Drosophila melanogaster: one gene and its partner. The protein of the gene in region 1 interacts with the protein of each later gene in a pairwise test. Each region holds a gene or a part of one and is shown in the gene's direction. Other genes may lie near its edges. The genes, in order: CG31559 and Act42A.

Evidence for each region.
Region 2: the proteins of CG31559 (region 1) and Act42A interact in a two-hybrid assay, tested with the Drosophila melanogaster proteins (one large-scale study listed by BioGRID).

Annotation. Positions count from the first base shown.
Region 1 is NT_033777.3:6,148,452-6,162,283, reverse strand, and holds CG31559 (uncharacterized protein), read left to right. Parts: upstream 1-5,048; 5' UTR 5,049-5,227; coding exon 5,228-6,118; intron 6,119-11,235; coding exon 11,236-11,709; 3' UTR 11,710-12,168; downstream 12,169-13,832.
Region 2 is NT_033778.4:6,010,440-6,020,286, reverse strand, and holds Act42A (actin 42A), read left to right. Parts: upstream 1-4,597; 5' UTR 4,598-4,710; intron 4,711-4,864; 5' UTR 4,865-4,886; coding exon 4,887-6,017; 3' UTR 6,018-6,377; downstream 6,378-9,847. Other genes in the region: Pngl (PNGase-like), read right to left, coding at 272-681, 738-834, 894-978, 1,034-1,869, 1,932-2,023, 2,079-2,454; Src42A (Src oncogene at 42A), read right to left, coding at 8,676-8,884, 8,950-9,116, 9,178-9,355, 9,519-9,677, 9,740-9,847. UniProt on the Drosophila melanogaster protein: Actins are highly conserved proteins that are involved in various types of cell motility and are ubiquitously expressed in all eukaryotic cells.

The DNA of each region.
Region 1 (13,832 bases):
GAGGAGAGGTGATCGACGCCAAGGGCTTGTAACGACGCTGCGGAGTTTTGGGGCTGTGGGGTGTCTGAAGTGATACTGAAAAGTTCAACATTGTTGGCCGTGGAGTATGGCATGCCTTTTATCGGGCTCTCGAGGTACAATAACTGATCCCTCTCGCTATAGTTTGTGATAACGAAATTAGCAATATTGTTTTGGGCATTATAAATCCCGTCTGATATTATTAAGTCATCATTGATTGTAATTGAATCGATGTAGAAGTCGCCCTGTTTGGTTTCCACTGGTAGTGGCAAAATAGTTTTCGTATGTCCAGAGATATTAAATACGTTTGAAGTTGAGTTACTGTGGGTCCATAAGGGTATAATGGTACTTGGGGTTTTTAGATTTAGGTTAAGTAAATCTATTTCTGTTTTTAGGTAAGATAATAAGTCCATTCCTATCAATCCGTCAAAATAAGAGTGGAACTTGAAAGGTAGAAGGGTCATTTTGCCCGTGATTTGGAATTCCGGTGGAAATGGTATAGAGACGTTTTGATATATTTTAAAACTGTTCAGGGCTGTTTTGAGTGTTATGGGCGTATCTAAGGTCACACAGTTCCTAGGGTCGACATATTTTGGGTCGATGAAGGAGTGTGTAGAGCCTGTGTCAATTAAAAACTTCAGGGGGTTTGTCTGGGATAGTTTGATTTTTATAAAAGGAAGCGAGGGGTTGTGCGTGGCTGGGCTTATGTACCCTGTTGGTTTCCCGAGGCCGTTTGCTGAAAATTCGAATCAGGTTGAGGGTTCTCCTCTATATTATTCAAACTATGTGAAGGTGCTCGAAAGGGGTTTGATGTATTGGCCCGGTTGTCCTTGGTGCCGGATTGGGGTGTGCGATTGTGTGAATTAAATGGTCTATTTTGGCCAGAGTTAGAGTTAGAGTTAGAGTTAGAGTAGGGTCCCCTACGGTCATTTCGGTCGTTACGTCCGCTGCGGTAATTGCTGTCGTAGCTATTTCGGTAGGTTTTATTGTCTGATCCATTGGGTCCCTGCTCTGGTCTGTTGGTTCGCTTGTTTTGTGCCCTATATAAGGTCTGCTCTATTTGGCATTGCTCGTACGCCTGTTCAAGTGTAGAAGGGGACTTTATCCTGACGAAAGTCTTGAGAGGTTCCTTCAAACCAGTCATAAAAGCATTGAGACAAACCTCGTTGTAGACAACCTTTTTTGCATCTACAACAGTGTTGTTGTGTTCGCTGTTTTTGAGTATGGAGAAGAGTTGGCTTCTCACCTTTGATATACCAAAGAACAGTTGGCCCAAGGTCAGGTTGTCCGAAAATGTGTTAAGCTCGCTTAACAAGTTGGCCTCGCTTTTCTTGCTCGAGTAGAGGCGGATGAGATTGCTTTTAATCTCATCCCAAACCAAGGGGGTATTTGCCAGTTCCAAGGCTTCGTCGGCCCTATCAATGATTTTGTTCCTGATGGTCCTCAGAGTAAGCAGGCCATACGGTGTTTGGTCAGCTCCCCTGATGAGCATCAGGATTTCTTCTACGCTAGTGATAAACCTGTCCAATAGACGAGGTGTACCATCAAAGGTTGGCAAATGCTCAACAAATGCCATGATATCTTTAGGCTTGAACGTAGTTGAAATTAAGGAGCTAATACCACTGACAGTGGGCGCCAGAGGGGATGGAGTGGGGCGGGCAGAATCGTTTCCCGAGTCCATATTGGGGGTTTGGGAAGATATTGATTTGGGTTCTTCCGAAATCGGGAGAAGGGAGTCAGGACGTCTAACGGGATGTGGGGGCCTATTAGTGTTTGGTGGAACTCCAACAACTGAACGTGTAGTTTTCCTAAGGTTGTAAACGAACTTTTTTGACATTAAATTTGAGGTTACTTAGTATATTATGTATGATTGAAAAATAATGAACAAATTTCTTGTTTACTAGAGTGTATGGGTGTCTGTCTTTGGCTTTATATTTTCCCTTTTATATTCTGCAATGTGATTGGTATTAGTATTTGTTTGATATACAAAATTACACAATGAAAGGAAACAAAATATATCTGTATATGTCGACTTCTTTAGTACATTTGTTTTGGTTATTTTGAATGTGCAATACATGAGCGTAGCAACCCATTGTAGAAGAGTGAAAGGCAAGAACACTTGACGATACTCAAGCGTTTTCCCCTTACCTCGGCTACCCAGACATGGGTGCGCCACTACACATGCAGTGTCGTTGTCGTTGTGGTACGCAGAATGAGCCTCGCTTGGTTTGAAATGATTTTTGCTTATGTTTTGATTTTTCGCCGACGTATGGCAGTGTGCGTTTTGAGTGTACAATGTATTAGAGAGGCTTTGGTGCTTTGTTTGTTTACCACGGTGGCATGGTGATCAGCGTTTGATTCCATGCCAACGAGGCGGTACAGTACGTGGATGTATTGGATTGTAGTTGATATTGTATGCTCACATATATAAGTGTATATAGAGGCTTTGGCGATGCGTTGGCCAGCGTATGTAAGTGCCGATGACGTGATGATCAGCGATAGATTCCACGTCAGCGCGGCAGTACGGTACACTTGCACTCTTTTTTTTTTATAAAAACTTATGACGTTTGGCAGAGTATGGACATACCGATGGCGTGGTGATCAGCGATAGATTCCACGTCAGCGCAGCAGTACGGTACACTTGCACTTTTTTTATAAAAATTATGACGTTTGGCAGAGTATGGACATACCGATGGCGTGATGATCAGCGATAGATTCCACGTCAGCGCGGCAGTACGGTACACTTGCACTTTTTTATAAAAATTATGACGTTTGGCAGAGTATGGACATACCGATGGCGTGATGATCAGCGATAGATTCCACGTCAGCGCGGCAGTACGGTACACTTGCACTTTTTTATAAAAATTATGACGTTCGGCAGAGTATGGACATACCGATGGCGTGATGATCAGCGATAGATTCCACGTCAGTGCGGCAGTACGGTACACTTGCACTTTTTTAAAAAAATTATGACGTTCGGCAGAGTATGGACATACCGATGGCGTGATGATCAGCGATAGATTCCACGTCAGCGCGGCAGTACGGTACACTTGCACTTTTTTTTTGTATATTTATTTATTTTACATTTTTCCTCTCTCTTTTTTTTTCCTGTGTTTGAATATATGTTTGAGTTTCATTTGGTACTTCACAACTTCAATTTTGTTTTATAAAAATTTGTTCCTAGTCACTTTCAGTCGACATCTTGCATATAGTTTGTTTCGTTTCTTACATGTTTACTTACAGGTAGGTAATTATTAATAGGTAGGACATCCTACCGGCTGCGCCAGTTAAGTCCGTGATCGAGGGTGGAGCCTTTTGTGAAGATATGATGTGTAAATGTATGAAGGTTTTTAAGTTTCAGCAGATAGTTGTAGCGTGAAGATTTCCAATAAAGAATACGACTGACTTTCTTGAAGTTCAAAATCAGTATGAAGTTTATTGTCAGAGAGTGGCTACTCGAGTCCTCCGTTTTCGTCTTATACATAAGTACATAGGTTCTTAATTGTAAGCATAATGAACATGCCGACTCGGCATGTGGCTGGCTAGCTGGGGACAATGTTGCAGTGCGACTTTTGTGTAATGTCAGCATTCGGCCGGAATGTCAGCATTCGGCCGGATGCGGTGTTCCAGTTGCCGTCTTCCCGGTTGAGTGTCCGATGATTTGTTTAGAGGCGTGGGGGTTTAGGGGGTGGGGTGGTAACTCGCTCATCCTCAGCCAGAATTGTGGCATAAATAAAAATAAGTGAGTGAGGGAGTTTGGGGAAAATGCACATCAGACATTCTTTATTGGCCAACTCATGCTGGCCGCACATTTCCACTGACGACTGAATGAGTTACTGTAACCTTTGCTATCTGGACAGGAAGTTGTCCGAGATGCGGTCGATAAGCTGCGTCGATGACTCGTTCGCCTCATTCAATAAAAAATTCGGAAAATTGTCACGCACAGTGTGTTGAGATAGTCCGAAATACCATGGACTGCTATTTGGTTGAATAATCGCTATATTCTGATTTAGGTGTCTGTAATCGTGGCAACATGCTTTTTAATGCACTTCTCGGTCACTTAAGGTGTTAATTGGACATTCTAGAGATTGGTAGAGGCGCTTACAAGGTATTTGGTAAGGTCAAGATTTAAATTCTTACGAATTTTAAGATTTTAATTAAAAATTTATATAATAGCTATAAAAACCAAGCCAAGAACAAACAACGCAAAATCGATTCAAATCTGTAATACGTGCATGCATTTTGCTAATGAAATTATTATCATATTATGGATAAGAAATTGTATTTTATTAAATTACCATAAATCTTAATAATTAAATGCAGAACGATATTTAAGTAGCTTAATAACAGCTCTACAAAATCTGTGCTCACCTAAACATTCTTGAGCTAACTTATATATACTTTAAATGCTCGAATTTTCCAAGTATTTTCCAAGTTAATACTAATTTTTCAAAAGAAAACATTTGGTATTTATAGGCTCTCGACTACTGCTGCCGAATCAATTAGCGACCAACCGCTAACCGAAAAAGTGGGTCAACTAGGTCAAGTTCCAGCGATTCCATTCCCTAATTGAAATATTATTTAATAGGCGCTGCTGGAGTGTCCGCTAACTCGCGTTCTTACGGTTCTGCGATCTCGGAACTCCAATCTGGCCAAGCGATCGGGCTTACTAAATTTCCCAGTTGGATTGGATCGCGTCACAGTCACGCGCAGGCGTCATGCCAACTTTGGCAGCTGCTGCCCCCGGCTCTGTAGGCCAATTGCTAATTCGCGAGGCGGCCAGAAACTTCTTCTCCGGCTAATGACAAACAATTTGAGCCCGGCAACGGGCTTTAAATTACCAAATCTAATAACGCGCGGCGGAGGTGCAATCTGGCCGAAAGAAAGCCACCGCGGAGTTGCTGAATCTCCAGCTGAGAGCTGAATAAAGTGGCCCGGAGAGCGAATAAGAGAAAGAGAGAGAGAGAGAGAGAGAGAGCTGAGTGGAGTGGATCCATTGCAGCTCTGGCTTGCCATCTTGGCCAGAAAAAGTCGGTCCAGTCTAGCGACGATATCTGAAGCATAAAGACATGCGACGTCTCGGGTGCAACGTCCGTCAGAGTCATTGAACGCTTGCATTTTCCTGGGCCAATCCGATAAAAGCCAATACTGTACAGTGCCAGCCGAAAGACGGCTTACTCCGCAGACTCTAGATAGCCAGATAAGTGATATGGTGCTGGCCACGCCCCCTGTGAGCAAGGGCGGTAACGCGGGCGGCCTCTTCATGGACCAGTATCAGCAGTACGCGGCCCACTGTGAAACCGCCGACAGTGGCAATGGCAGTGACCTGGAGAGCACCGGATTGCCCACCAAACCGGATGACAGCGAGGAGAGTGGCCCCTCCTCGCTGGGCAGCGACTCCATGCACGGGAGCAGCACGGAGTACGTGCGACAGTCCGCCTCCCAGCCCAGTGGCCAGCGGCAGCGACAGAAGTCCTTGCGGGTCCTGGGTGCCCTGCTCCCCGACAGCCTGCTCCGCGACATACGGGACCGGAGGAGCACCGAGTATGTGGTACAGTTCTCGCAGCCAGAGGATGAGGAGAAGATCCAGGTCCCCGACAAGATTCCGGAGAAACCCAGTCCGTTCCGCCTGGCCCGCGAATCGCTGAGCGAGGACAAAATAGAGGAGCTGCGGGCCGCAGTGGAGCGGGCCAACTTCGTTCAAACCGGTGAGGAGACGCTGGACAGCATCGATGCCACATCGCAGTCTCTTCCAGCCAGCAGCAACATCGGCGGACACCGCGGCAATATCAATTACAAGTATGCTGACGACCAATACTACAGCTTTCACATCAACGAGCACGAGAACTTCGGTGCGAGAAGCGCGAGAAGTGGCGACGAGGCGGACCACTCCACGGGAGCGGGATCGGAGGCTGGCTCCGACAGCGGGATCCTAACGGAGCAGCAAGACCTCTTCGCCGGCTATCGGGACGTGCGATGTGGGGCCAGTTCCACCCAGTCCACTATCCGATCGGCCAAGGGAACGGTGCGGGGCGTCAAGAACCGTGTGCGCAATGGAATAGCCACGTTCTTGCAGCTCCAGCAGCAGCCCAATGCCAAGGTGAGTTTCGTGATCATGTCGGGTAGGGATGGTATGGGGACGTATGATTGGATAACGGGATGGGATGCGTACGGTATTAAAATGCTTCTCAGGTCAGAGTCGACTGATTGCCTATCAGTTGCATACCCCTAAATACCGGTTTACTAATCACTGTCTTAATCTTACATTCAAGAAAGAAATCTCACTTTAATCTGATATCGGATTAATAACATTTTCTTTCCAATTTAAAATGCATACATAACACAGTCGTTAACACCGTAACAACACAATCGTTGAAAAGTGATTAACAGATGTACAAGCGTAGATCAGTCTGTTTTCCATTATAATGCCGAAATATCGGAAATTTACGCCCACCAGCAGCTGACTAATGGGTATCTAGTATATGTAATGGGTATAATAGTTGAGGAAGTCAATAGTAACGATATGTCTTTTTTTAATTAGTTTTGTTTTACATTTTTTTTGTTCTGGGTTAAATTAATTAATAATACTTGATTTAACATTTTAGCACACACTAAACCATATACTTAGAAACATTATAATTATATAAGTTATTTATTTTAAGGAAGTATTTTGAGCTAAACTTTATTGTTGAAAAAAAATTGTTTGATCTTCGGATCTAACAAGATCAGCACAATATATATTTACACCGCTCACATTACTTAATGCAACGATTTCTGCAGACTTTACTAAAATTTTGACCTCCGCTGTGGTTATAAGTACCGATATGAATATTCAGATATCGATGGTTATTCGGTTCCCACGCTGCTGGGCGTCGGCAGAGGCCTCCAGTGGCGTTGAGTCACCTGCTCGCCCAAATTATGCAATTGGCCTGCATCTCGACATTTCGGCATTTCAGTTGGCTGAAATGGAGAAAGTGGTGGCCAACAATTGCGGCGGCCGATATGTGGCTGTGGCTTTTCAATATACGAGTATCTTTCACATTTCGTGTTTCGTGTTTCGTATTTGCCCGTAATCTAATGAACAGCTCGTGGTTCCCCATCGTCCCCTTGGAAGCCCCGAGATCTGGGAAACCAGCTGCGCTTTCAGCGTCTTCGTCGGTTTCTTCTTCAATTATAATGGAAACCGTTAAGTGGCTTATTTTGTCTCCGCCGATGTCGTTTTGTATGCGCTTAGCGCGCGTCTACAACTTGCCCAGATAGCCAGTTGGCCAAGTCGCGTTTGTTTTAGCCCCTTGTTCCCAGAGACATGTAGTTTGGGCGCGGGATTGACACGACTAATCGCAGTTAATGTCGGGCAGTTGGGAGTTGGGGCTGGAAAACAAATAAAAAGAAGTGCTAATTCCGCGGAGACAATGGAGCGAAGTGGAGTTGTCATCGCAAAAGCGGGATTAGTGATAGTTTCTATTCCGAGCCGAGGCGTGTTCTCGGAACTAGATTTGCATGAAGCGATCTTAATTTATTCACTTGATAAATCAATATCTCTGCGCTGATTTATGGTTGTTAGTGTGAGTGTGTTGGAGCTTTCTAGCATTTTTATTGAAGATCGTCAAAGCCTGTGGAATTTATTAGCACTATCGAAATCTCTTGATAAATTGATTGAATGTTCATTCATTTAGTCTTCTGATGAAAATATACCACCTTCCATGTATTTTCAAATTTATTTTTTTTTACCAATTTGGCTAAAGAGCTTTCTAGTTTCTAGCAAACTAATACCGAACCATTCCTCTACATTGTAGCATTAAATATATATTAACTCTTACGTATCAACATCATGAATATACCTCGGATTGAATGCTGATTTATAATTGCCGACTTAGCTTTCTAGTATTTCGATTGCGTCTTGAGAGTCATCATCAGAAATCAAACATATTTTGAGTTTAATGTCTCAAATTAACTGAATTGCCGCCATTAGGAATTCCCCTTCCCAAATCGTTGGGAAATCGTTGTCATTGATTTCGAGTCTTTCCACACCAAACGCCATTTAGGATCGGAAACCTGTCCCCGTTTCACGGATTACTCGTATCGCTCAATCGTTTTTCCGGCTTTTCGAGCGCTTTTCTCCCGTTTTGCCTTTATCAACCGTGACGGGAGTAGAAATCTCTTCTAGTCCAAATACACACTTCTGCTTGGGCACGATGTTGTTTTTATGGTTTTTAGCTTTTATTAGTTGCCCGCTCCGAGATTTCCCTTTATCTAATTTAATGAGCAGATTTTAGATCACATTAATTGTTTTGCTTCGCGTCTCGGCCTGCGACTCCGTGGCTTTTCACTTTCTGGACCTGATGAATTGATGGAATGATAGCTGGCCTGCTCGGCGGACTAGAAACAACGGCGAATCGGCATAACTTAGGTGGATTGGATGCTAACTGAATAGAAATGTTTTATGGCCTTATAGCGGCTCGCATGCAAATGAGCAAATGATTCGGGCAGGAGGAAGCATTTGAATGCCACAATGAGGAAAGTGAGATGCTGCTAATTACAATGCAGCCGGTATGCAGAGCAGTAAAATCGAAAGTGAAAAGCTGGGCCAGCGTAGTCTTGGCCTTTTCTTCTACCCTTTCCTTTTTTTTTTTTCATAACCCCTTTCAGACCTTTTCAGCGCATTGCTGCAAGCCATAATTAGAGCGCTCACCGAATTTTCGATGGCCGATTGGCCACAAATTGGAGTTGCTGGAGCTGGCTGCTCAGCTCGGAAAACACACAACTCACTTTGTCACCTTCGAGAAGCATCAGCAGTATCTGCTGGCTCGGCTTTAGCCTCCATCTCGATGTGGCTGTTGCCCAACTCTTCGATTGCCAATCACTCCACCGCTGGCTCTTGGCCATACAAGTGACCTGCTTTCTCTTTTGTCCACTTATATGTAGCAGTTGCTGCTGCTGCGATAGATGTTGCTGCTGCTGCAAGCGTTGCTCGCGTTGGTGTGCTGCTGTGACAAAAGTCGCGAAGCCGCTGAGGTCAACCGTGCAAATCACGTGTGGTAATTGTTAATTGCCGCCGTGTTTATGTTTTTGGCAATGCAAATCATCAGCTCGAGCTGACATTGAACCACTGACGGAGGGGGCTACCACCACCACTATCACTTGGTGGCTTATTAGCTTGGGGGCTTTTCTTTTCGCTAGAAGACAATCGGTGGAATTGAATTGGAAAAACAGCTCGGCAACGTTCACTTGGAGCTGGCTGGAGTTGACTTTCCATTTGACCGCAGCTAGTTGTTTGTTTGTCAGCCAGCCAGTTGTTTATTGTCGATTTGGTTCGTGATGCGTGGCTTTGAACTTTTCCTCAGTTTTGTCGTGAAATATTTTTCTCGCTTTTGTCGTTTATCGTTGACAACGGCACTTGCAGCTGCATCTCTCTTGGAATGATGTGTTTTTGTCTCCGACTTCGAACTCCGACTCTGGCTGTGTATGTGTGCATTTTCCATTTCCCTGCCCCAACCAGCTCATTAATTCTCCTTCTTTTCCATATTCTTGGTATGCAAATTCTCGTCTCACTGGTTTCTAGAGCAAAAAAAGGGAGATAAGCTTATTATTTTCTAATTTCAATTATCAAATTGTTATTATCCTCCGAGATGAGCCTTCGAGTCAATACAAGCAATGTATAGATTCTTTGACATAACTTCATTTGGGAATAATCAAAAAACCATAATCAACAATGAGCAAATCAGATGCTCAAATAAAAATGCTGTCTTAAACATATTTCTTGTACTATTTATATCCTCATGAATACAAATTTTACCATTATATCTATCTACCATTATACCATTAATCTTTATTATTAATCTCCTAACATTATCGTGAAAAATGCATTCTTTTTCTTTTAAATCAACACATATTGAAAACGTCTTTCGAGATTTCTCAATATTTTATTTATGTGTACAAGACGCTTCTGCACGGTTCATTGATACCACAGCAGTAGTGCAGGTGGGGGAACCGGGATCAGATCGGATTGGTTCGGTTCGGACCAACTTGGTTCATTAGCTAAAGCAGACGCCACCAAAGTTGGCCAACTAACGGAAATGTTAATTGTCAAATGAAATGAGCGAACCCAGCTGCGAACCGGTTTCGCTTACAAAATAAGACATCATAAATTGTCGGGAAAACATTCCAGGTTTCCATTGTGACTCTGCTGACTGGCGACGTCGATTGCCTGGCAGTTTTCCTATTATTGCTTAATTGTATTGATTAATAGGATTTTGAGTGACATGCAGAGTTGCCGAGCTGCGGAGTTGGGTTACGCGAGTCCAAGCCTCGAGCTAATGAACCCGAAGCCTGGCAGAGAGAGCCGAGTTTTCCACCAGGCTCAGTTCGAAATGCAATTTCCAACCAGTTTTCAGCCCCCGAATTCCAAACTGCTTTGTCGGTTTATGGCCAAGACCTGATTCTAGCCGCAAGTGCTGGTTATTCAGTTTGGGGAACACTCGAAATGTAAATAAAGCACTGTTAAATCTTAAATGAATCTTAAAATAAATAATGCAATATTACTAATTCAATAAATCTCTCTAATGTTTGCTGATCCAATAATGTCGGAAATTGAAGTTAGCCAGACAGGAAATCTTATTTTTTACATGTGAGGAGTAATTGGATTCGAAAATTGGTTGGGGAGCTTTTGGCTATGATATGTAACAAAAAACAATAATTTGTTGTATATTTAGCAAATATTATAATAACTTAAAATGTTTTGTCATTACGCACTCAAAAATGTTGTATGAAGCCAGACAATTGTCTAACAACATATACAAAAATATTACACATCATCTGAATGACTCGTTTTCGGAGCACACGCTTTAAAATCAATTGAAACACGACGTTACGTTAAAAATAGAATTTAAGTGCACTGGTTACCCGAACATAAGGAATAGTCAACCGTAGAATATCGTGTTTTGAATGCTAAAACCTCTATGCCATGCCTGCACAGCTCTTCCGCATCGCCTTTGTCTGCGGTTGGCCTTCATCCTCAGCCGGTAGAGACCCAATTTGGCATTGCCATTCTTGCCTGGCCATGGCAGACTTCGAAATCCGCACTCTGTGGCGAATGGCGGGCCAGTTTCCAGTTTTCGGTGGCCTGCTTTTCATCATCTCGGTCCGCGCCGAACGCCAAACCAGAACTCGAACTAATCTGTGATCTGCTTTTCCACTTCCATTCCTCCCGCCCCGCAGAACTTCAAGGAGAAAGACCTGGGCAAGGTGGTGCTGTACACCACCAGCATGGGCATCATCCGGGAAACCTACACGAAGTGTGCCAACGTCAAGCAGATCCTGCGCACCCTGCTGGTCAAGTTTGAGGAGCGGGACGTCTTCATGAGCGTGGAGTACCAGGCGGAGATGCGCCAGCGGATGCAGAGCGGTCAGGTGCGGGTGCCACAGCTGTACGTCGAGGGCCAGCACATCGGGGACGCCGAGACCGTGGAGCGGATGAACGAGTCCGGCGAGCTGAGGCAGCTGCTCAAACCGTACAAGTCCATGGCCAGCACCTACACCTGCCAGACCTGCGGCGGCTACCGCCTGCTGCCCTGCCCCTCCTGCAACGGGTCCAAGAAGTCCGTGCACCGCAACCACTTCACTGCCGAGTTCGTGGCCCTCAAGTGCATGAACTGCGACGAGGTGGGCCTGGTCAAGTGCCACAATTGCTGAGTCGCAGTCCGAGTCCCAGTTCTAGAATTCGTAAGCCCAGTTAGTCTAAGCCGCTAAAATCCAATACTCTCGGAATATGCTAGGCTTAAGTAGTAAATAGCTAATCCGTACCAGGGTCTGTGTTTTCATTTTCGAGGAAATAGTGGGGGTAAATTTACGTACTAGCAAGTTTCAGCGAAAATTTGGGATAAGTACTTTGCTAAAATATTTAATCTTTAATTAATTTGCTTAGACGCATTAAGTTTTCTGCTAACTCCTGCTAATGTGTCAAAAAATCATCTTTATAAAGAGGTAAGTTATACAATAGGTAAATTTTAGGTCAATAAATGTTTGTTTAATCGGTGAATCCCAATGAGAACATTTAAGTTTTGAATAATTATGTATAAGTTCGTCAATTTTAAGCTAATACAACAATCAAAACCAACAAGAATTTAGAAATAAATATAAAGTCAACCAAGGAGCCACTATGTTTTCATCTTATCTCATGTATAATGTATGTGTGCGATATAAAGGAGGATAATACATATTCTGGGTGGCTAGAATGTTGGTCGGACCGATGAAATATTTCACCAATAGCAAACCAATATTTGCCGACAAATAAATTGTTTGCCTGAAGTGCAGAGCATATATTTCAGATGCAATTAAACCAGTTTAGTGCTTTAATGTTTCATTAATTTGCAATTGAACCGCAAAGTATGCAAAGCCTAATACCTACTTTGCGTTCGGTTAAATGCTGCAGCCTCTTGAATGTTTGACGGCGCTTAAAATTAATTTGGAAATTCGCTGATTGCGTTGCATACTTTTTGGCGGACTTTCTCCAGGGCTGCCAGCCCACATGGAGGAGCTAAGCCCAACCCAGATGATTCTTCCTTTTTGGATCGTCTTTTATTACCACATCACCCGGACCATTGCTCTCCAGCCTTCTGGGAAAGTGACTTACTGCCCAACTAAAGCAAAGGAGCAGCCAAATCTATGCCACCGCAGAGCTGGCCAAGACAAAGAGTGTATATTTCAGGAAAAAGCCAGTGGCTTATGCATCAAGTCTGCTGAGTATGCACTGAGAAAAAATGGTCATTAGGTAGAAAAGATAAAAAAAAATCTTTTTAAATGAGTTCCCAGAAATATAGTACTATAAAGAAACGAAAACGAAAAAAACGAGAAATACAACAACGGTTGTTAAGTGTATAAAAACTGTATTATTACAACACAATCCAAAATTAAACATTGAGTATGAATGCTCCTAAAGTCACGAAAAGTTAATACTAAGATCCTGTTACTAACTATCCTTTAAATTTCATTTATTTCATATTTATTTCATACTAGTTATATAGGTTTTAGTTCCTAATGGATTTTATTATACGCCAGATAAAAAGCGAAAATGGATTTTAAAACCAAACTTTCGGTGCATGCTGGTCTTAAAGTGTCGATTTTTTATCCAAGTGCGTCTTCTGGCTTCGGGCAATTATGTAAACCGGCTTCTCCCTTTTTGCACCACACCGATCATGCAATTTTCTCGCGCCATTTAATTTTTGTCGGCCTGCTTCTGGTCGAGCTGGGAAAAGCGGGAAAAGTGGAAAAGCTGGTGGAAAGCGTCCTGGCCCCTTTGCCAGTTAGCCAGCCATTCGGCATTGCCATTTGCTTTTGGTGTCTTTGTTAGTTATTGTTATGGCCCTTTTAATGTTATTTTCCACTTGGCTCACACTTCTGTTAACATGCCGCCCCGAATGCACAACCGGCAACCCGCTGACCAACCGAACTGACCGAAGGAGAACCCTTTCCTTTCTGAATGGGAATGGGACTCCGGACGGGAGTGGGTGGGATTGTTGGGTTTCCGCCTCCCGAGGTCCCCCAGATCGTTAAATTCACAGGCGGCTACATTGTAATTACCGAGCGGAGCCACCGTCGAGCTGCTGGCCCAAATCCTCGGCCAAGGCGGCTTAAATTATGGGCCAGCGACGGCGTCGTCATACGCAATTTTTCATAAACAATTTGGCACAGTAACACACAGGGATTGGAGATGGAGGCGGCCTGGCTGAGAGTGCGGGCCCCGAAAATATTAAAATATATATTGTAAATACCTGTAATGCTGACAAACGGCGGCCACATCATATGAGTGCCGACTG
Region 2 (9,847 bases), on another chromosome or scaffold:
TAAATTTGTCATTCATATTTTAATTAACTGCAACCCAAATCTAAGAACCTTATATTTTGTATTAACTGTTTCCATGCGCTTGTTCTATATATATAGAAATTTCATAAAAGTTAGTCCTTAAAACTTCAAGTATAATTACATATAGCGACACTATGTGCCTTTATTTAATTTTTAATATACATTTTTGATTATTATATTTTCATCCAGACTGGGAATCGTTTATATTATTTACAATTACATTTTAATTTCTCCAAAATATTTTTTGAGGACTTCAATGTAGTTGCACTTGCAGATCGAAGGGATAGTCTCTTGAATTAAGACTCTGCCTGAACAGTTGTGTGTGTTGCCATGCTACATCGCCCTTGCCACCCGTAAGTTTGGCCACTATTTTGAATCCAGTGGCATTTTCAACCGAAGCGCTTCCGTCGGTGGCATCGACAGTCACGCTGATTTTTCCGTCGCCAAAAGTTTTTGTCTCGAAAACTAAGTTGTAAGACTTAACCTTTAAATTGGTCTTGCTGAAATCAAACGTCCAGGCAATTTCTCCGCAATCGGTATCCTCCAGTCTAGCCAAATATGCCATTTTCCAATCGCGTTCCACTTTCCGAAATATGTTCTTTGAGGAAAATTGCGCTTTTTGCCATGTCTTATAGCTATCCAAAATAGTGATGTGTTCTCCTTCTATGGATATAAAAGTTAAAAGCATTCATAGTGCTGTAAATAAATTCATGACTCGCCTTTGGCATATCGTTCGTATGTATCGGTGGCACAGCTGTAACGCACATTAAGTTGCCTTTTTTGTAGTTCGGTTGCACTTAGATTGAAAACGAATATCTGTAAATACATGAAAGGTGACAAACGGCCGGCAGCGCGTCTCAGGCCAGATCACTTACATTGGTAAAAGTATGCTCTCCACGTGACTGCCGCCAAGAAAGACTTCCCGAACTCCGACCCTTCAGCTCGTTTTCTGTCGGCTTACTAAACAGGAAACGGGATTAAATTTAATTTCGAACAGTTTCCTGTAAATGCTTACCGCTCTAGCGTCAAGCCGATGACCTCGTACATATTGCGCTGGCTGAGGAATAACTTTCGATCGGCGGTGCAATTTTGCCGCCGCTTTGCTCGAATCGCGTCCAGCGTTTGCACCATTTCTTTTTCCCCGCACAGCTTTCGTAGGTGTAGAATCTTCTGGTGGTCATTAGTATAGCGCCAAGTCACATCTTGGATGTCGTCCCTAGAGTATGCAAGAATGTAGTCGATGTGACGTTTCCAGCCATGCTGATACATCAGCGGAGAATCTATAACGTTCTCGGAGGGGTCAACATGGAGCCAACGCATCTGGGCCTCGGAGTACACCTCGGTCCAGACGTGATCAAAATGCGAGTGGACAATACGGGCGTCGTAGTCGAGGGCGCGACAGAGGAATGTGAAGCAATTGGCATATTCTCCGCAACGGCCCTTACGGGAAACTAGGAGCTGGGAAATGTCGTTATAGCGGTAGAACTTGCTCTCCTGGCCGCAGCAAACGGTGACTTCCACCCTTATATCACCTTCCCGTTCAGTGCGGCGCAGCCTGCTCTCTTCACTCCCACACACGCGGCAAGGTATATTGTTTACCCACTGGAAGAACTGCGTGTTGAACCAGTTTACCAGCTCCACAAGCAGCAAGTCGCGAACACATGGCTCCTTCTCCTGGCGCTCACCCGACGCAATTTGATCTTGGATGTCTATCAGTTTCTCGCTTGCCATTTCGGTGAGCTCTTCCACAGGAATCAGAGTGCGGCCAGTAGCCAGCAGCAGGTTATCCTCGTACTGCATGACTGCATCGGAATAAAGCTCTAGCGACTGCAGAAAGTTATTATTGGTGCGCTGAAAACAAGCTTCCACATCAGAATACAGCAGAGGTCTATCTTGTTCGATGGCTGGCTTACCAATACACGGGGGAAGGCGATTCTATGGCGATATTCCACAGAAGGCTTGATGAACAAGGGCGTGGTGCTGGTGGTGCTTTGTTGAGGAGGACCTATTAAAATCCGAGACATGATGATTAGGATGTCAGTCTTGCCCCCAAAGCTTACTTTTTGACACTGTGCCGTTAAGCCAGGCAGTGCGTCTCTCGCTCAGCGCATCTCTGTACTTCTTCACCTGCTGCAGTGACACCTCTGTGGGCAAGGTGTAGGCGTTGGAACTGGGGGCGCGTACGAAGCCTATGGCTTCCAGTAACCTCTCACAGCCGGGCAAGGACAGCAGCTTTTCTTTAATAGCTTTGTTTTCCTGCCGTATGGTGCGGAACATGGAGTTCTCCGGCTGCGCCAAGATGTTCTCCAGCAGCACTAACAGAATGCGGACCGCTTCCAGGTAGGCTTCCTTTAACCCTCGCTCCTGCTGCTGCTGACCAGCAGAACGGGTCTTCGGTTCGATCTGGTGCACGCACTCCAAGTTTATGTCCACCATGTTGATGACCAGCTGCCACTATCAGATTGGTTTCGTCGTTAGTAGGGGTGGCCGGCGGATGACAATCATGCAGACACAAAGGGTTATGGTGTTGGAAAACGCGATTAGTTTAGCGAACTTCAAGCGATAACAAAAGAGGTGTTTTTTAGGTTTTTTTTTGTTGAATGAAGCCAGCCGGATTCCACTAGCGTACATGTTCTTTTCCTGTGGGGATGCACAACAAATTTATGCACGAAAAATAGAGCTTGGATCTCCTTTTTATAGACATTTTAAAAAAGGTAAGAAATCTCTAAATTTCAACAATTGCTTTAAATAGGAAATAAGTTACTTAGAAATATTAAGTTATCACGTGTTGAAATTATAAAAATTACTCAATAATCTTTTGCTTAAAAAAACGGATTAAAAATACACAAAGCATTCAATTACCATTTTTAGTTAGTAGCGATCGAAGAATGTTTTGATTTGGAACTCCCAATATTTATTAGGTCTTGGAAGTATATAAATTATATATTAAATACATAATGTAATAGAAAAATAAAAAAAAATTTTTAGGAATCCACTTAGGACTAAGGGTGTTCTAAAATGGACGGTTCATGTTTCAAATTAAGTTTACATTGTTGTTGCTCAAAGAGAAAGCTTATGAGAGCAAGGATCCTGGAAAATTGATAAAGTAATTATGCACAGCTCTCCGAAAATTCGCCTTACAGTAGGAACAGCTCAAAGGGACTTGAAAATACTGCCAGCTCCAGCACTCGCACCAAGCAAATTAGTGACATGAACCGATGTACAACAACATACCAATGTTAACTTGCTAAATGTGTTACACCATTTACAGATCGTTTTTCATGTGGCAAGATATTTCAATATTTTTTAACGCTATTTGTTATCTTTATGAATAACGCTTGCTACTTCTTAGTCTGAATAATATTCGGCTTATAAAGATTTCAGGGATTCTGTAATGGATACGTTCGAACTTATTTCATTAAATTAGAGATAAACAATTATGTTATTGTAAAAAATATCAATTGAAATCATGCGAAAAAAAAACTTATTCTCAGAGGAGAATGCTAAAGACAATGTATAATGGATATTAGATATCCAATTACTGGATATTCGCTTTATTCAGTTTTAGCAACCAATTCTGAAGCGTACATGTGGAATAAAGATTAAAAAAATTATATTCCTGCAAAATATTTAGATGAATACATTGCATATATTGGAAATCGAAAACAAGTTCATTTTAAAATTGTGGGCTTGCCAGTTTTTTGTGGCTTGTGGACGTTAGAGTGAAAGTGGCGTAGTTATACAATAAAACAAACTTGCCCGAAGTAGGCGTCACTAGAATTTGCATGATTAGTTTTAACATCCTACCAATATAGTTCCAGAGACTTTGATGTCTATGCTAACATTAGTACATCGCCAGGTCGCCTCGGCTAGAGATGTTGATCAAGAGCGAATTCCCTATTGGGAATGTTGTTTGTATCTGTTTCTGTCCAACATTAGAAAATATTCTCAGCTGCAAGGCACATACGTACGCAAGGTACATACGCAAATTATAAAAATAACCTAAGTATTTTATATATATATATTTGTTAAAATCCAACTAAATTCATGTCCTTTTAATATAAAAGTTATTTAAGGCTGATTTCATGTCACACAACACTTTTTGAAATATGTTCTGAAATTGCAACTTCCTGGAAAACTCTACATAGCTTAATGCAAAAGCTTTCACAGCTAGTTAATGAAATTAAAAACAAAAGGTTGAGATACCGGGCCACTTGGCAAAACGCTCTGTAAACGGTGTAATACATTCTGAAAGTTAGCGTCGAAATGATAGTGCTATACATCGGTTCATAACATGGATTTCCCTGTGGTGCAGGTACAGCATTTGGCGGTATTTTCAAAACCCTTTTGGTCGAATTTTGAGAACACTGCATAATTTTTAAATGCATTTTCAAGGATTCTTAGATCATTTCTAATTTGTTGATAACACGTCAGTATACCAATGAATAAAAAATTTTAAAAAAAGTCCGCTCTCCAGTCTTCACCGTTTCCAACTTATCGCACATTTATTGTTGGTGGAGTCACTTCGGAAGTAAAAAAGACCATAATTTTATGCGTATATGGTCACACTACTTTTCAACCACTTTAACTCGAAAAAGTAGGCGTCGGTCAATTCAATCTTAAAGCGTCTGTCATTGTGCTAAGTGTGTGCAGCGGATAACTAGAAACTACTCCTACATATTTCCATAAAAGGTAAGACTCCTGCCCAACACTTTTTTTTGTCTGTGCGGTCATTATTATTCCTTTCTGGAAGGGGTCGGTCCCGTCTGCGTTCTTTTTTACGTTAGCCGCTGTCCTGTCTCCTTGTTTTTTTAGTGTACACATCCAGATTTCTTTTCTCTTGCAGATCCAAATAAAATTTCTACAAAATGTGTGACGAAGAGGTTGCAGCTTTAGTGGTCGACAACGGATCCGGCATGTGCAAAGCCGGCTTTGCCGGTGATGACGCACCGCGTGCAGTTTTTCCTTCTATTGTCGGCCGTCCACGTCACCAGGGCGTAATGGTAGGAATGGGACAAAAGGACTCTTATGTCGGCGATGAGGCACAGAGCAAACGTGGTATCCTTACCCTGAAGTACCCCATTGAGCACGGTATCGTGACTAACTGGGACGACATGGAGAAGATCTGGCATCACACTTTCTACAACGAGCTTCGTGTGGCCCCGGAGGAGCACCCCGTCTTGCTTACTGAGGCTCCTTTGAACCCCAAGGCTAATCGCGAGAAGATGACTCAGATTATGTTTGAAACCTTCAACACTCCGGCCATGTATGTTGCCATCCAGGCGGTGCTTTCTCTCTACGCCTCCGGCCGTACCACAGGTATCGTGTTGGACTCCGGCGACGGTGTCTCCCATACTGTGCCCATTTATGAGGGCTACGCCCTGCCGCACGCCATCCTCCGTTTGGATCTAGCCGGTCGCGATTTAACCGACTACCTGATGAAGATTCTTACTGAGCGCGGTTACAGCTTCACCACCACCGCCGAGCGTGAAATTGTGCGCGACATCAAGGAGAAGCTGTGCTACGTGGCCTTGGACTTCGAGCAGGAGATGGCCACGGCCGCTTCAAGCTCGTCCCTGGAGAAGTCGTACGAGTTGCCCGATGGACAGGTCATCACCATCGGAAATGAGCGATTCCGTTGCCCCGAATCGCTGTTCCAGCCGTCGTTCCTCGGCATGGAGGCCTGTGGCATTCACGAGACCACCTACAACTCAATCATGAAGTGTGACGTCGACATCCGTAAGGATCTGTACGCCAACACTGTGCTGTCCGGCGGCACCACCATGTACCCGGGAATCGCTGACCGCATGCAAAAGGAAATCACGGCGTTGGCTCCGTCCACCATGAAGATTAAGATTGTTGCCCCGCCAGAACGCAAGTACTCTGTTTGGATCGGCGGCTCCATCCTGGCTTCGCTGTCTACTTTCCAGCAGATGTGGATCTCGAAGCAAGAGTACGACGAGTCGGGCCCCTCCATTGTTCACCGCAAGTGCTTCTAAGCAGTAGTCGGGCTGGGCGTGGTCGTTCCTCATCGAACACACCCATTGCAGACAAAGGATGGGAGTCAAAAGTATTGGGCATGAGTACATTAATACCGGGAGCAGGCGCACAACACTTCCGCTCCTTCAGAAGAATGCATTCCATTCACTTTTATACACAGTTGTACACGACGCATAAGCAAACCATATTGTGTTCTATTCGAAATTCAAGTTCATATGCACATAAGCATTTATAAAACTGATTCATGTTTGGCATTTACATTACTTCCATGCATTCCTACATATGTATTAAAAGCAAACTTACCATACCACTAAAATACTTGTAACCGCTTCTTAATAATAAAGCGACGAAAAGAACTGAAAATTCCTTTTGTATTATTCTATTATTTTTTCCACCAAAAAAGCTAGCATTTGGCTGGCATGAGTAAGAGGCAATCTGAGACCGTGATATTCCGATGGCTATGTGCTCATTCCACTGGCATGCAGTGGCGGAGGCGTCAGATAAAGCGCTAACCAATAAGGCATGCTTTGCTTTTGTGTTTAAGTCAGATGGGAGCAAGCATCGGTTTGCAGGAAGTGCCTTGATAAGCCAGTTTATGGCCTGCAGTTTCTGTCGAATCGGATATATGTACATTTGAGCATAGGGTGTGATTCAGTTTGGACTCGCTCCGCTTATCACCCGACCCCACCCAGTCTAAGCGGTATTTTTACGTTGATTGATTGCGAGTGAAGCAAGTGAAACGCCAAAAGCAGCTGCATCAGCGTTACCTTATAAGGAAATAGTGGAGGAATACCGCAATCGCACTCGCACTGGCCACTGCAAATCGAGACCAAAACAAAGCCATGTTGACTCACTCACGAATGTTCGGAGTAGTTTTCGTTGTCATCAATTGGCATTGTTTGCCCGATTTTGTTGATAGGTGGGGCCCGGCCCGCCCCATCCGATTATCACTTGGGTGTTGAAACGTAGAGAAATTCATTTGGGGGATCCCTAGCAAATCTGCTGGTGATCTGGACAAGCGCGTTGACCAAATTTAATGAACTGTAGCCAGAAAGTAGATTCGTAAGAAGAGCGCATGCGTCGATCGTCGATGTCCATATATGGAGGCCGTTATAGACTTCAGTCACTGCAACAAATGCCTAACTAACTTTATTGCTGTAAACAATATATTTTGGGTTTCTACGCTGGAAGCTGGCTTTAAATAAATGTATTTTCCAAATCCATCGATAGGTAGATTTGTTCAATACAATTTCAATACTTTAAAAATAGGAATATTTTCACATAACTTTTCGATTTCTGGCAGTTATCAACATTTTATGGCGTGTGTCATACATACTTGGTTAATTTGTATATTTTAGTAGTAAGGTCAGCAAACTAGAACTAATAAAATTATCAGAGCTTAATAAAATAAGGTAAGGAAAGAGAAGTTTGCCAATCCCCGCCTATGGTCTGAGTAAAAAACAAAATGATTTTGAATTGCAAAATAAAATTTTTAATACTTATGCGCATTTTATATTTCTTAAATTTGTGTATGCAAGGACTTGCGTTAAAAATAATGTGACGGGGAAATTTGCTGACTTTGTCTACTATTTTCACTGTTGTTTATAAGAATTTGAGTTTTTTAAATATGTTTCTGAGAAATCAACACTAAAACTGCTATCTTGGAATATTTCAACAAAAACTGAGTGACTTTAAAACAAGTCCTTGCCTTTTTTCAAGCCCTCCATAATAGATAAAAGAATGAGTGAACAAAGTTGAGTTTAATTTTAAAGAATTTTATATTTATAAATTATAAAGAAATATTTTCTTGGTTCTAAATGTACATGTTTTCGTATATGTATGTTTGTTTATGCATATTATGTTAAGGTTACAAATTACATTTAAATTCTAAATAAGTAATTATATGGATTTAGCTATTGGGCACTGCAAAGTATCCAGTAGCTAGCATATATTTAATGATTGGCGTTTGTGTTGCTTTTTCTATTTGTGATAAAGCATATAATGTCGTTGATAATGTTCAGTGAGAATAGAAGTAAGACACGTACGTAATTAATTAACTAAAAGTGAAAAATTTTTGTATATGTGTGTGCTGCAAATATCGTTCTCAGGTTGGCCTATCAACTAAAGAAAAATAGGGAAGTATGTTTTAGCATACTTCAATAATGAGGGTCTCGGCATATGAAGGTGTGACTATACGGTTGTATTTATATTTGTATATAAGTGATCATATATATATATGTGTGTGTATACGCGTAAATATATGCTATATGCGTTATATAAATAATAATACATTTGATATATTAATCGAAATATACGACAAGGATGTCAAAGCGTATAAATCCGACCAAGTGCCAATATGTTTGTCATAATAAACAAGAAAACGAATGTTCCAATGGAACGTCATTTGAAATTGCATTCCACCTCAGCAACTATTTACCTTAAATGCTAATAACATGAATCGTATCGGTACCTAGACAACCACAGCCAACGGGCACCAAACGGGGGCCCATGGACACGTTGTGCAGCAGTAGAAAATCTATGCAAAACAAAAGTAACTTAGTAAGAATTGTCCGTTCTGGGATGCCTGGCGATTTTTTGCAGCTGTCTTAATTTTCGTCACGACTGCTGGCCACGTCCGTGACTTCGAAAAGCATTTATCAGTAGGCCTGCGCCTCTTTGTAGTCGCTCTGATCAGATGTATAGAAGTCTTCCAGTTTCCATTGTAGCGTCTCAAACGTGGGTCTGCGCATGGGGTCCTTGTGCCAACATTCCAGCATAATCTCATACAGGCGCGGCTCGCAGTTGGGAGGTTGCGGCATTCGATAGCCGTGCTCCACTTGCGTTAGCACCTCAGCGTTGGTCATGCCTAATCAAAACGATAAGCCGGATTCGATTATTAAGAGTTTGAATCTAGTCAAAGGTGTGACTTACCTGGATATGGTATGCGTCCGTAGGTGACCAGTTCTGTGAGAAGAATGCCAAAGCTCCAAACATCCGATTTTATTGAGAATTTGCTGTAGTTAGCAGCCTCTGGAGCGGTCCATTTTATGGGAAATCTGGCGCCTACCCGCGCCTCGTATTCGTCCTCCTTGATGAGCCTGCACATTGAAGATTTGCGTTATAGGAGTTAGTTATGTCTTTTTAAAGCCGTGTCTTTACCTAGCTAAACCAAAGTCGGCGATTTTGACGATGTTTCCATCGCCTACCAGTACATTGCGCGCCGCTAAATCCCTATGAATATAATTCTGGGACTCCAAGTAAGCCATGCCAGCAGCTATTTGCGCTGCCATATCAATCAGAGTTTGCATTTTAAGGCTACGACCCTTGCCTGCAATGGCTAAAAGATATTAAAAACAAAAATAAGCAATTTTCATGACATGATAAGCGAGCGGTTGGTTAACGTTGAGTGGCATGAAAAAAGATGTTCAAAGTGTTTGGTTCATTTTTTTTTTATGCAAAGCGTCTTATTTTTTCCTAGGCTTTCCTTCCTAGTGGCATACCTTGGAGATATTCCAACAGTGAACCGTGCTTCATTAACTCTGTGATAATATAGATAGGCTCCTCAACAGTGCAGACAGCGTACAACTGTATAAGCTTGGTGTGGCGCAGTTTCTTCATGATCTGGGCTTCCGCTAAGAAATCCTTGGGGTCCATTGTACCTGAAATCCAAAGTAAAAGTGATGGGACCAATCTTTATGAGTTAGCTCGACTGCAGACTTACCAGATTTCAGAGTTTTAATTGCCACAGGTGTTGTGTTGTTCCACAATCCCTCCCAGACATCGCCAAACTGTCCGGAGCCCAGTTTGCGCACGAATTTCAAAGACGTTC